Drosophila melanogaster: one gene and its partners. The protein of the gene in region 2 interacts with the protein of the main gene of each other region in a pairwise test. Each region holds a gene or a part of one and is shown on either strand. Other genes may lie near its edges.

What was found.
Region 1: the proteins of ncd (region 2) and CG13476 interact in a two-hybrid assay, tested with the Drosophila melanogaster proteins (one large-scale study listed by BioGRID).
Region 3: the proteins of ncd (region 2) and CG14043 interact in a two-hybrid assay, tested with the Drosophila melanogaster proteins (one large-scale study listed by BioGRID).

The regions. Positions count from the first base shown.
Region 1 is NT_037436.4:14,703,695-14,706,657, reverse strand, and holds CG13476 (uncharacterized protein), read right to left. Parts: upstream 1,195-2,963; 5' UTR 1,115-1,194; coding exon 665-1,114; 3' UTR 501-664; downstream 1-500.
Region 2 is NT_033777.3:29,803,774-29,808,931, forward strand, and holds ncd (non-claret disjunctional), read right to left. Parts: upstream 3,355-5,158; 5' UTR 2,854-3,354; coding exon 2,631-2,853; intron 2,572-2,630; coding exon 1,934-2,571; intron 1,875-1,933; coding exon 633-1,874; 3' UTR 517-632; downstream 1-516. Other genes in the region: CG7789 (uncharacterized protein), read left to right, coding at 1-513; ca (claret), read left to right, coding at 3,562-3,829, 4,032-4,633, 4,696-5,158. UniProt on the Drosophila melanogaster protein: Minus-end-directed microtubule-based motor protein. Has ATPase activity. Required for normal chromosomal segregation in meiosis in females, and in early mitotic divisions of the embryo.
Region 3 is NT_033779.5:4,969,919-4,974,289, forward strand, and holds CG14043 (uncharacterized protein), read left to right. Parts: upstream 1-1,783; 5' UTR 1,784-1,893; coding exon 1,894-3,696; 3' UTR 3,697-3,769; downstream 3,770-4,371. Other genes in the region: Polr1C (RNA polymerase I and III subunit C), read left to right, coding at 1-228; l(2)05714 (lethal (2) 05714), read right to left, coding at 294-866, 1,136-1,378; mRpL28 (mitochondrial ribosomal protein L28), read left to right, coding at 4,219-4,239, 4,359-4,371.

The DNA of each region.
Region 1 (2,963 bases), on a different chromosome or scaffold from region 2:
GAAAGAGCGGAGCAAAACAAACCCACCGATGAGTGAGTTTGCTTTGAGTGAGAGAGCAGAGAGCCTGAGTCAACAGGTTGTTTTGCTGGTTGGGTCACTTAACCTCGTTACTCTTTGTATTCCTCTGTGGGTCACACGGGGCGTATGTGCAATATGGCTCACTCGGTGCGTATGTGTGGCGTATATGGCTCAAGTTTGCCGACAAATCGCCGACAAATTGTTTAGGAACATGGATGCTGGCTACGCACACGACTTGGATTACCAGTTGGGATTGTCTTTAACCCAGGCTGTGGGTTGTCACAGTGCGTATACGTGATTTTGTCTTGACTTTTCTGCAGGACAATTTGTGCGGATGTTGGCGTGCTTTTCTCTTTTCTTTCTGTTCATAATTTTGTATTTTTATGGTCATCCTAAGTTTTTTCGTTTCAAGGGTTTTAACATTTCGAACGTCTTAGAAACTTTCCCACAACTATAAACTGAAGAAAGAGACAATGGGTTTTGTCATTTCACCATGCAAATTTAATTGAATCGATAAAAAATATAAAACATTTGTAGCCCTGACCACCTTATTATTCCTTTTAAATGTGTGAGGTGGAATTGACAACGCATTAAATTAAGACGTTAGTAATCGAATTGGTGCGGTCTTGGATCCTATTTAAAATGGTTACTGGTCTTCTGTTATGTTTATATCAATAGAATCCGGCACATCTTTTGGATATTGCTGATTAAAATCAGACGCTGCAAGACTACGGTCATTCAGAACTTCTGTCTCGTCGGAACTCGGATCCAAGTCGAGAAACGCCTTGGAGATCATTTTGGGATTTAGTTCGGCATCCAGGTCGTTGTTCTCAACTATTTTAATCAAAATTTCCAGGAGCAATTCACAACACTTCTTTTCGTAGCCCATAACATTGGAAATGGCATTATGGATTGTGTCCTTCATTTTTAACAGCTCTTGATTCAAGTTTTCGATATCAACTAGAGCTTTCTGGGAACTGGCCAAAGAAACAGCAATGCGACGTCCCAGATCCTCGTGCTCCAGGCGCATATTGGTGGCATTTTCCCGAAGACATTGCAGCCAAATAGAACGCTTGGCCATTCCCCTCATGTTCATTGTGAGCGTACAAAATATACAGATTTTATTTGAATTTATTTTATGTGTGAATATCTGATTACTTTCAGGGCGTCAATAGTACTGGGAAACCTATTTTAGATCCATAGAAATGACACAGAGGCAACTGGGAATGAGTAGCCTGCTTGGGTGGCGCTACAATAAGATGACTGACATCAATTATATTAATTATCAGAGTAAGCCGATTAGCTGGCTAATGAATTAAACATCATGGGAATTTCCCGGCCCATCCTGAAGGCGACAAATCAATGTCACTTAAAACATATAATTATCATCATTAGCCGCCCAAAAGCATCGCACTCCTCATGAACCTAACTTTTATTACAGACTATTTTGCCAAGCTGATGGTGCTCGGTGTTGCATTCATAATTGATTGTCCTGTGGGCAAACGTGTCCTTTGCCTTTGCGTCCTTCGCAAGATAAGCACTTAAGCTAAATGAAAGCAGATGTCTTAATTTTCATTTAAGTTGCTGACAAAGAGATTTCTAAGCTGCTCTGTCAATGCCTTTATCTGCGACCTTCCTGGTTAATTTTTTATTTCGAATGTGCGAACGTAAATGAAAAAACGCTTGGTAATTGGTCAAAGCTCTTGATTCCGGTCCAAAGCAAAGGATTTCATTTTTAATGAGAAGCAAATATGTTCAGCCCTAATTGGATTAATGGGAAGTCCTGCGGGATCTAAACGGCTTGCGGTCTAGGTCAGAGTCAATGCGATAGGGGCGTTTTTTGAGTGAAAATGTTCGCTTTGTTAACAATTTAACAACTTTGTTGGGAATGGCTTAAAATTTTGTTGGAGAAGAAGGATTAAATCATCTATATGTGATGATGAAAAGCCTATTTATATATATATTATGTTATACTCGCATTCAAGAGATTTAAACACTAAAAGATCATATCTCTATATTCTAAGAGCTTTTCATGAATTTTGATTTTTATAATTAAAAAGGCGCAACTCGTTGTGAACATTGTTGTAGGCAAATGAAAAGTCCTTTTTAACCGGCACGATAATTAAATCATGCTCAAACAGAATTTGAACTGAAATCTCCATCATCGGTTTAACTTTTCTTCCGTTTCCTCCGACCGGAAAAAGCTCTTCCTTAGCTGTCAACTGGTAAATGCCGAATTCTATCAATTTGTCATTCAATCATTGCACGAACGTTGCTAAGCCGACTATGCAAATTGAAGTCAAGAGGCATTAAGTCCAATCCCAAAACTAAAACGCTACTCCATGACACAATTGTCAGGGTTTTATCGGCTTATTTCTATGCATGAGTGCAGACACTCACAAGGACACGTTTATACCCACACAAATGCAGAACACTTTTTGAAAAGGAAGAAGCTTTGGCAATTTTCCGATTATTTTTTCTTCCATGTCGAACTTATGTGAATGCATATATAAGAACATCAATCTTTTTTGTTAGTCTGAATTAAGAGAACTTTATTTCTGATGTGGATTGCAAATACTATTCGATTTTAAAGTCGAATTCATATTTAAGAGACTAAGGACGTGTTGACTTTTGTTTATAGTGAAGTTCAAAATGTACCTTATTTATTTATTTTTTTTCTTTTATATATATTTGCCTCAATAAAGAACCTACAAACACCTTACATATAAACACTATAAACCTGAATATGTATGAAAAAATAATTGAAACCAGTTTGATTGATTGGCTGAAATATAGCAGTTAACTAAGGTTCTGCGCTTTTGATTATTTTGCATCCCCATTTGGAGCTTTCTAAAATTGATGTGCGGTTGGCAGGTGATTTATTGCGGCTTGAAAAGAAAAGGGACTATTTATTTCTCTGCCTGTGCTTGCTTATCAAGTTTCGG
Region 2 (5,158 bases):
GGCATAGCCGTGAAGGATGCTGCTGTGGGCGGCATCATTCATCAGCCATTCTACCAACAGCCCGATGGCGAAATGGGTCGCACCATTTGGGGCCTGAAGGGTCTGGGCACGGGAGGATTCACGGCAGTCCCCGCGCCAGCCGGCCAGTTCATCATAACCACCACTCGCTCGCATTCCAATGCCCTGCATCAGCAAGCCCTCAACGCATTCGCATCCACAGAAGTTCTGAAAGTCGGAGGCGCTGGGTTCAAAGTGCTCCAGCTGCTGGAGGGAAAGGCCCACGCGTACGTCTTCGCCACGCCGGGCTGCAAGAAGTGGGACACCTGCGCACCCGAGGCCGTTCTAGAGGCCCAGGGCGGCTGCCTCACCAACATCAACGGCGAGCACTACGCCTACAATGCGGATGTGGAGCACGTGAATCGACAGGGAGTGCTGGCCAGCCTGGGACAGGACCATGCCGCGCTGGTGGAAAAGATTCCCGCCGAGGTGCGGGCAGCAGTGGGAGCCAAGTGAGATAGCTTTGAATTCCAGCACTTTATTAGTTTATTTGCACTAAAAGTAAACACACATAAATTAAGCAATAACAGGTTAGAAATTTGAAAATTGTTAAAACTGGGCTCAGAATGCATTCTTTATTTATCGAAACTGCCGCTGTTGTTGCTCTGTGTGCTGCTGTTGGCCACCGAGTTGTTCAGGTAGCGATTCCGCTTGGCCTTGGTCATTTTGCAGGAGTTTACGGAGGCCGCGAAGCGCAGCGACTTGACGGACTCTTGGAAACAGTCTTGGAACGGCGAGACGTTGATGAACATAAGCGTTTTCGAGTTGCCGCCCAGCGAGGGCATCAGCAGGTGCGTCAGCTTGGAGTTCCTGTACGGGATGTGGTCCTGCTTCTGCAGCAGCGCCAGGATTACGTTGGTGAGCTCCGATAGCGAGCGATTGATGTTCTTTGTCTCGGTCATCCGGGTGCTCGTCTTGGGAGACTCAGAGCCGGCCAAATCCACCAGGTTTATGGAACCCACGGAGATCTCTTGCTTTTCGGCATGGCGTCCGATGAGCTCAAGCTTGGTAACCGCGTGGGAACGAGAGGAGCGCTCGTTGCCAGCTGTCGAGGCGGTGGCACGGTTCATCTTGGCCGTGTGCATGAGGTGGCGCAGGTGATTTGGATCCAGAACCGTCTCCTCCGTTATGTTGGACACGTAGATGTCGTTCTTGTTGTTCTTGGCCATTCGAATCTCCATGTCCTTCTGCTCGTTGCTCAGCAGATCGTAGAGCACCTCGTTGTAGATCTCCAGAAAGGTGGCCTTGATCTCGTACTCCCAGCCCAAGTTGCGATATCCCCGGATGGAGTCGAAGAGCAGATCCACCGTGCGCGGTATGACGCCCACACTCTCCGGCACTCCGTCCATTGTGTAGGTCTTGCCACTGCCCGTCTGTCCGTAGGCAAAGATGCAGATATTGTAGCCATCCAGGGCCGACTGGATGAGCGGCGAGACCATCTCGAAGATGTCCGACTGCGAGGAGAGCGGGTGGAAGACCTGGTCGAATGAGAAGATCTGCTGGCCCATCTTGCTTTTGGCCTGTGCGTCAATGCTCTGCAGCTCCACGGTGGACTCGTCGTGATAGGTCCAGGTGCAACACATACGGTTCTCCTCGGACTCCAGCGGCGGTCGTATTCGACAGAAGACCCGGATGTTGCCGCGCAGGTCCATGACCGTGTTGTGCAGCTCTTTGCGCTCCATGTTCGACTGGAAGAGCTGCTCTTTGCAGGTCTCCAGCTCGGCGGCCTGCTGCTCATTGCAGCGCAGGAGTTCCTCGGTGCGCTGGCGCAGATGCACCACTTCTGTGCTTAGAGCAGCATGCTCCGTTTTTACTTTCTGCAACACACACATTGTTGTTACATTTAACCTGGGTTTCTGTTTACTTGAGTACTCACCTCATGTATTGCTTGCAGCTCGGATAGCTCCTCTTTGGTCCTGCCCAGCGTCGATGTGATTGTTTCAATTTTGGCGGTATGCTGCTTCACCTGCCTCTGAAGACACTCGTTGTCGCTCTGGGTGTTCTTCAGCGAGGACTCCGTCTCGATAAGCTTGTTCTGCGTCTCCTCCAGTTGCTGAGGCATGGACTCCAGCTCGCCCATGTCCTCTGTTTGCTTTTCGTACTTTGTCTTAAGCACCTTGTGCTTCTCTAGCAGATCGTGGAAGCGGGCCTTGAAGTCGTAGGGAGCGATGCGCTTGGGAGCAGCAGCCGCGGCTCCTGACGAAGCTGCTGCTCCTGTTCCTGCTGGTTTCTTGGCGGCTGCTCCTCCTGCAGCCCGTGGAGCAGGACGCGTTACTGGTGGTCTTTTGACAGCTGTTGCTGTTATTGACGAAGGCGCCGCAGGACGCACTAGTCGCTGGCTGGAAACAGTGAGTGCACCGCCCAGGCGGGATACTTTGCTGGGAATGCTGGGCAATGAAGGAGCAGCCGCAGTGCGCTTGTTACCACGCAGTTCGTTGATGTCGCAAGCGCTACGGCTACGTCTCAGCTTGGCCCGGTGGCCCAACTTCATGGGCTCTGGGGAGGCGGCACGTGCTATCGGAAATTAGCAAGGACTTAAGGTGAATTCTTTGGAAGGATGCTTCTTTACTCACCTCCTCCTCCGCGACGCTCCAGCACCTGGGGCAGATTGTTGAGGTCCCTTGAGAGGGGCGGCAATAAGTTGCCGCAGTATGTCTGGTTGGCATTGACATTGAAGGCGCCTGCTCCAGCGGCTCCACCTCCCAATCCTGCGCGAATTCGATCTGTGGGCAGCACGGTTTTAATCGGCATTTGGGGTTTCTTCAGGCCCGACGGTTTCGGTAGCCGGGATTCCATCGCCAACTGTGTTGTGCCTAACTTAGAAGATACGTCTGCCTCCTTGCAACCGATTTTATCAATTAGTTTTGCGTTGTTGACAAGCGACGCCGTCGATTCCCGCCGTTATTTTTGATTGCAGGGATGCTCTGGGGCAGTGTGACCATTTGTCGGGAGAGTACGGCGTTGCCAGCCAAGACGACTTCCAGTTTGTCAATCAGATGTTTTCAGTGCTGCAGCTTTGGCCCTCGGGCACAAATTTTCGCCTTGACTCGTGCATCCCGCAGGTTTTCGGCGCGTGAAACTCACCCAAGCGGGTGTGAAATACGGTGGCTGTTGCATTCGAACCGTTCATTTTGTGGAAAAGTCGCGGCGGACTGTTCAACAGCCTGAAGAGTGAAGTCTTGTGCGCAGCACTAGTGTCGTTGCCGGACGGTTGCGGCAATCCGGGGCGAACTTCTTGAAAGCGTTTTGCTTTCTTTTTGCGAGCTTGTGCGGTGTGAAGGAAGGCCGCGCTATTCTGAAATTTATTTGTTGCCTCGAAAAAGCTGTGGAAATTGCGTTCCAGTTGGAAAGCAGTTGCGTGATCGGGTCGTTGCCAGACCGGCCGCAGGTCTCACGCGACCATCTCTAGTTTGTTTTCATTCGGATTGGAAAAGGCTCGTTCCCATCGAACTGATTTTGTGAATTTTAAAATTGGCTTCCCCCACGTCCGCCAATCCCCCCGAGATGTCGGGGCAGGCGGAGCTCAAGGAGCTGGGCATGTTCGAGCTGCGCCCGCTGATCACTAACATCAGCTGCAAGCTGTCCGCGGTGACAGCGGGGCTGGACGAAAAGCGACAGTTCCTATGCCTCGTTTCTGAGGAAAACGAGATCCTGCTGCGCTACATAAGCGCCGCCTCCGGCCAGGAGGTGGTCAAGATGATATCCTGGTTCCGCAACCGCGTCATCCACGACGTCTGCTTCGATCCGGCGGGCGTTTGGCTGCTGGTGCTATGTGAGTTTCAGCGTATGATGGCATGAGCACCACCCACTTTTTTGTGTTGGGTGGGTGGTTGCTGTGGTGGTGCTGCTAAAATTACTTTGCCCCCATGTGTGCGTGTATGGTTATTGATTTTCTGCTGCCTCCCCTTTGTTTTGATTTAACGATCGAATGGAGTCCTTGCTCAAACACCACTTATCCACTGCTCTGTCAACAGGTTTCGACAACACACTGCACATCGTGCCCGCCCTGGCGTTGGTGGACAAGGCCCATGGACTGTCCGCCTGCTCGCTCTACAGCACCACCCAGGTCACCTCCTACATCATCCCCTTTGTGGGCCCCCACGAGTGTCCCAACTCCAAAAAGTGCCCCAATCACTCCACCGGTCTGGAAGAGTCCACGGCGGAGCCAATGGATCAGTTGGCTGAGAACCTAGAGCAGGCCAGGTTGCAGGAAGGCGAAGAGGAGGAGCCTCTTGGCCACGACCTGCCCGAGCACATGCTGGTGCGAAATAGCGGAACTGAGGATGCAGTGCAGCCACTGCCGCAGCAGCAGCAGACGATCGATACCACCGGCAATAGCCAGGTGATGGCAGCCTCTTTCATGGCGTCCAAGACCTGCCCCTATCCCTTGTCCGTCGTCTGGTGGAAGACCAACAGTGGACAGAATAGGGCCATTATCGGCTACTCGGATGGCTCCATCTGCTTTGTGGGCCTGAGTCCCAACTGCCCCATGATTGCGAGCACTGCCATCGAAAACGGATCTGTGATGCGCCTGGTTATCTGCAAAGATAAAGCCTACGATGGTGTTATGCTGCTGGTAAGGAACTATTCTACTAATATAGATTTCCAGATGATAGAATATGGTTTACCGTCTTTCAGATAACTTCCTCCCTGAAGCAGCAGTACAAACTTTTGCTGGAGCAAAAGGCAATCAAATACGTCTATCCCGGAGACAGTTCCCCGACAACCCGCGAGGGCGCCTGGCAGATCGTGATGTCCGTGCAGGACAAGCATCAGAGTGCGGCGACAGGCGCCCGACAAAGCAATAGTTCCGATCCGGCCTCGGACAGTAGCCAACTGGAAGAGGATGTGTTCGCGCCTCCGTCCAGCGATGATGTGGTATGCAGTGGTCCAGGAGCAGCCAACTCAGACCCGTCCACTGTTTCGGCATCCGCAGAGGCAGCCACTGCAGACGTGCCTCCACCACCGGCGCCGCCTTCGTACAGTGAGGCAGTGGCTAGGCAATCCGGTGACCAAGGCGGCGTTCGCTTCCAGCAACAACAGCTGCCAGCGGGCAGCATGGATGGCATTCTGCCCGCCACGAGAGCCCGACTGGCTTCGC
Region 3 (4,371 bases), on a different chromosome or scaffold from region 2:
GAGAATGAAACTGCCTATGTAAAGGATGCACGCTACGACACGTGCAGCCGAAATGTGTATCGCTATCCCCAGCTAAACGACGCTGTGACTTTGGCCCGTATCCGAGATCACTACATTTTCTCCGTGGAATCAGTCGGCGCACTGAAGCCCGATGTCATCTTCCTGGAGGCGGTCAAGGTATTGAAGAGAAAGTGCCGGGCGCTAATTGACGAAATTGAGGCAGAATAGTTATTTATTTAGTTGTTAAAGAAATTATATTATGTACATAAGACAGCTTGATATAAATTGTAAGCCTACGAAGATCGTGCTTGCTCTCTCTTGCGCTTGAGCACCTTCAGGCGAAATTCCGTTAGGACCACCTGCAGACGCTCCTGGCACATTAGTGCGTCCTCCAGGTCCATGTTGTTCAGCTGCAGAGCCAAACTCTTGCCAAACAAGTCAAATTCACTAATAATGGTGTCTTCCGTCATCGCGTCGACTTGGTATTCGTTATTAATCTCCGTATCTTCCGGCTTGAGCTGTATCATCTCTTCCTCGTAGACCACCTCTTGGTCCTGGAGATCTGTTTCATTCTGTTGTACTTCGAGGAACTCGTTCTCAACCTCAAATTCTTGCTCTTGATAGGGCTGATCTGTTCTGAGTAAATCATCCAGGATTGAGTCGTTCGAGGCGATTTCGTCCTCCTCCGTCTCCTCCTCCATGCTCTCCACCTTCGTGTCGTTCTTGATCTTTGGCTGCATTTTGCTCCTTGGCTTTTGCCTTGGATAGGTCTTTGATTTGGCTTTGGGCTTTGCTTTGGGTGAAATTATGGAGGCCTCCAAGTCTGGGTCATGCTCATCTTTGACAAGTTCACCCTTAATCATATTCTGTAGGTATAAATACGGAGTTGTTAATTTTATGTAAATTAGTAATGAGATGAGAATTTTTTTTTTGGAGCGATAAGTTGTGCATCGCATAGAGGGAGCTACTGGTTTGGTTAACCATTGCACAAGAAGTAGTCAATGGAATAGTTAACGAAAAGTATGGCGAAAACTCACACAAAAATCGTGTTTGAAATTTAGTTTGGATCGCAAAATATTTGAATCAATAATGGACACGGGTCATTCCTATTGCTTATGCACAAACCCAATCCCACCTTGGCAAGAATGTTGTGGTACTTGAAACTTTCCTGGTGTTTCCGCGTTGCGAGGTGCTGCTTGATGGACGCTAGTCTGGCGAGGACATTGATGTCGCAGATCTTGCAGTGCGCCGAGTAACCGTCATTACTAGACGCCAGCCAGCTGGAGAGCTCCGGATATTTCTCCCACTCTGTGCGATAGCGTTGGTGGTACAGTCGCTTCACCTTCTTGTCCTCATCCGTCTTGTAACCCTTCAGCATTGTGCCCGCTTTCGGATGAAGCTTGTCTGATTTGTGGAAAAGTATTCTTTGAAAGATGAGCGCCAAAAGCAGTCTTTAATAGCTGATGGTGGTAAATATTTTGGTATATTCCAAAAATTTGCGACGCGAAAAAAATCTGAAAGTCGATGCGGTGTGACTGTAATCGAATACGTTATAATACCAGCAATTAATTCCAGGGTTGCGACATAGAGGTTGCTGCGCAACGGTCACACTAAGCTGTTTTGTTTATATAAACATTTTATGCCTTCAAGTTTATATTAGAGGCGTTTATGGTTGTGTTATGTACTTTTTGAAAATACCTTACTTGTACATAGTTCAAATTAATTTAGTTTGAGATTTTAAATAAAATATTCTTTCATGGTTTGGGTCTCAGGTAAAGTTTAAGCAGTCACAATACGGCCACACTACACACTCATAGAGAAAAAATATAGTAAATAAAAAGGCTTTGCCGAATTCAGGATAGCTTTTGCCTGCACCGTGGGTGCTCAGCCAACATGGTCATTCCAAAGGAGATCCTAAGCGACTTCAAGGAGCTATACGAGAAGGCCAACCGTCTGGTGGAGGAGGAGAGCCGCAATGATCCGCCCACGGATCCATTCCGCTCCCATTATAAAGCGCGCGATGTGCTAATTGTCTTGAAGAAGCAGCTGGACGACCAACTGGTATCTGTGCAGGCCAGCGAGGAGGACGGTGGTCAGGACGATCGCTGCTATCACTCTCTGTTGGCCTTCGTTTGCCGGGATCTAGGCAGGATCTACATCTACACAGAGGAGCAGGCAGAGGGCGAAAAGATGCTCAATCGTTGTCTGGAACTAGTCACGCCGTTTAAGGAGTGCCCTGAGGGCATCATTCCATTCATTGGGGCAATCAACGAGCTTAGCATTGTGCTGGCCTCCAAGGAAGAGTACAATAAGGGACTGGAAATTCTCCTGGAGGCAGAAAAAATCTACGAGGACTTCAAAGCCAGTGGTCTGAAGCCCCTGGCCATTCAAGATGTGTTCAATCCTCCGGAGGAGGGACAACAATCTCACGAAGCTGGTCCCAAGGAACTGGAATCCCTGTACACGCTAGTCTCATTTTACATGGCGCAAATGTACGGGCATTTGGGTGAGCCGGAAAAGTCGGCCAAGTGCTGCCATCGCACCCTCCATCGACAGCTTGAGTCAAAAACATACGATCCCATTGATTTCGCACTGAACACCGCCACCTTGTCACAGTTCTATATTGGAGAGAAGCGCTTCGAGGAGGCCCGTCATCACCTGGCCGCTGCTACGCTCATCATGGCCGAATATGAGGTGCACATGCTGGAGCCGGAGATGAGCGAGAAGCAGCGCCAGGACGTGTCGGAGACCTTTAAACATCGCTACGCCGATGTGGCACGCTGTTGGGCCAAATATGGATTGTATTTAATGAACACATCCAAGCTTCGGCTGATGCGGGACGAAGATGACGAGGATGCCAAGAACCTGGAGATCGTTCTGCGCAATATGCGGCTGGTCGAGGCGGAACAGTCCCGGTTTCCTGGACTTGACCTCACCGCGTGTGAAAATCGTATTAGTTGTGAATACTGCCTGACCTTCGACGATGCCAAGTTGGTGTTTCATTTTGTGAACGAGTGGCTCGACATAGCCAAGGACTATTACAAGGCCGAGAACGAAGCTACTGAGTATTCAAAGATAATGCAGGATTACGCCGAAGCGTATGAGCACATTGCCTTCTTCGAGGAGAATCCAGAAAACCAGGCCAAGATGCAAAAGCGTCGCGCCAAGTATCTGGAAGATCTTTTGGATCTGCTTGACCCCATCTTTTACATGAAGATATGCCGAGAATGCTGGTATGGAGCCGGCACAGCTCATGCTGCCGTGATGGATGTCCGTCTCGACATCATTCGGGCCACTAGCACGCCAGCGCCGGAGGACATCAAGAAGGTCAATCAGAGCTGTATGAAGGCCATCAAGCACTTTGAGAGCTATGTCAAATCCTATCTGGTCAAACCGCCCAGCGAGGAATGGCGACCCAACATGGACGTGGAGGAGCAACGCCACATGCTCTACGCCCACTTCCACATCGGTCGCATCTACTACAAGCTGATCAGTGGCCATCCGCTCCAGCAGCTGGAGCACCTAACTAGTTGCCACACCTACTACCAGAGATTCGATGCTGGTTGCCAGCTGCACAAGGAGGCGGCCGAGACGCTGCAGGGCGAGATTGGTGTTGTGCGTGAAATGCTCCAGCTGTTGCCGCTCAAGATAAACACGATTAAGGCCAGGTTGAACAAGGCTGGGCTAACCGCGTGAGAATTTCCAAAAAATTAATTGCATTTGCTAAAAGCTTTATACGTAGTCAAAATAAATCGCGTTTCTTTCAAGGATATTTAATTGTTAATACATTAGTAACTTACATGTTACATTCTGATAGCGAAAGTAAGCCGCTTTTCGATTTTAATTGCCGACAGCATAAATTTATTTCTTGCTACTCGTGAATGGTACTTATGCCGGAGTATGGCTTGGCGCACTGTTTCATATATTGATTATAATAAATAAGTTGAACTACTTCGAAACTCAATTTTTTGCCGAGCATTTCTAAATTTCACAAAACTAAATTGAACGAAGCTCTGTCTCCGAAATACTTTTCAAACCTGGCAACCCTGGCTGCCAGCCATTCACATACGAACAGCTGTTTTTTCCAAACAGGAAGAGGAAGAGCGCCGTTGGCCTAGCCAAAATCAGGGAAAATATAGTTTAATAGCCAAGTTTAAACTGCCACTATAGTTTTAATAGTGAATAATAACAGTAAACTGCTAGTTCGTTCCTTAAAAAATGGCACACGCCACGCCACAGGTATGTGATTGCCTCAAAAATAAAGAGGAAACTGGTAGTGCGCCGCGTTTCTGTGACGCAATAGCTGCGTTAACTTTCGTAAACCCCATGGAATAACAAAGCGTTTAAACCTTCTGCAGGGCGTAAAGCTAT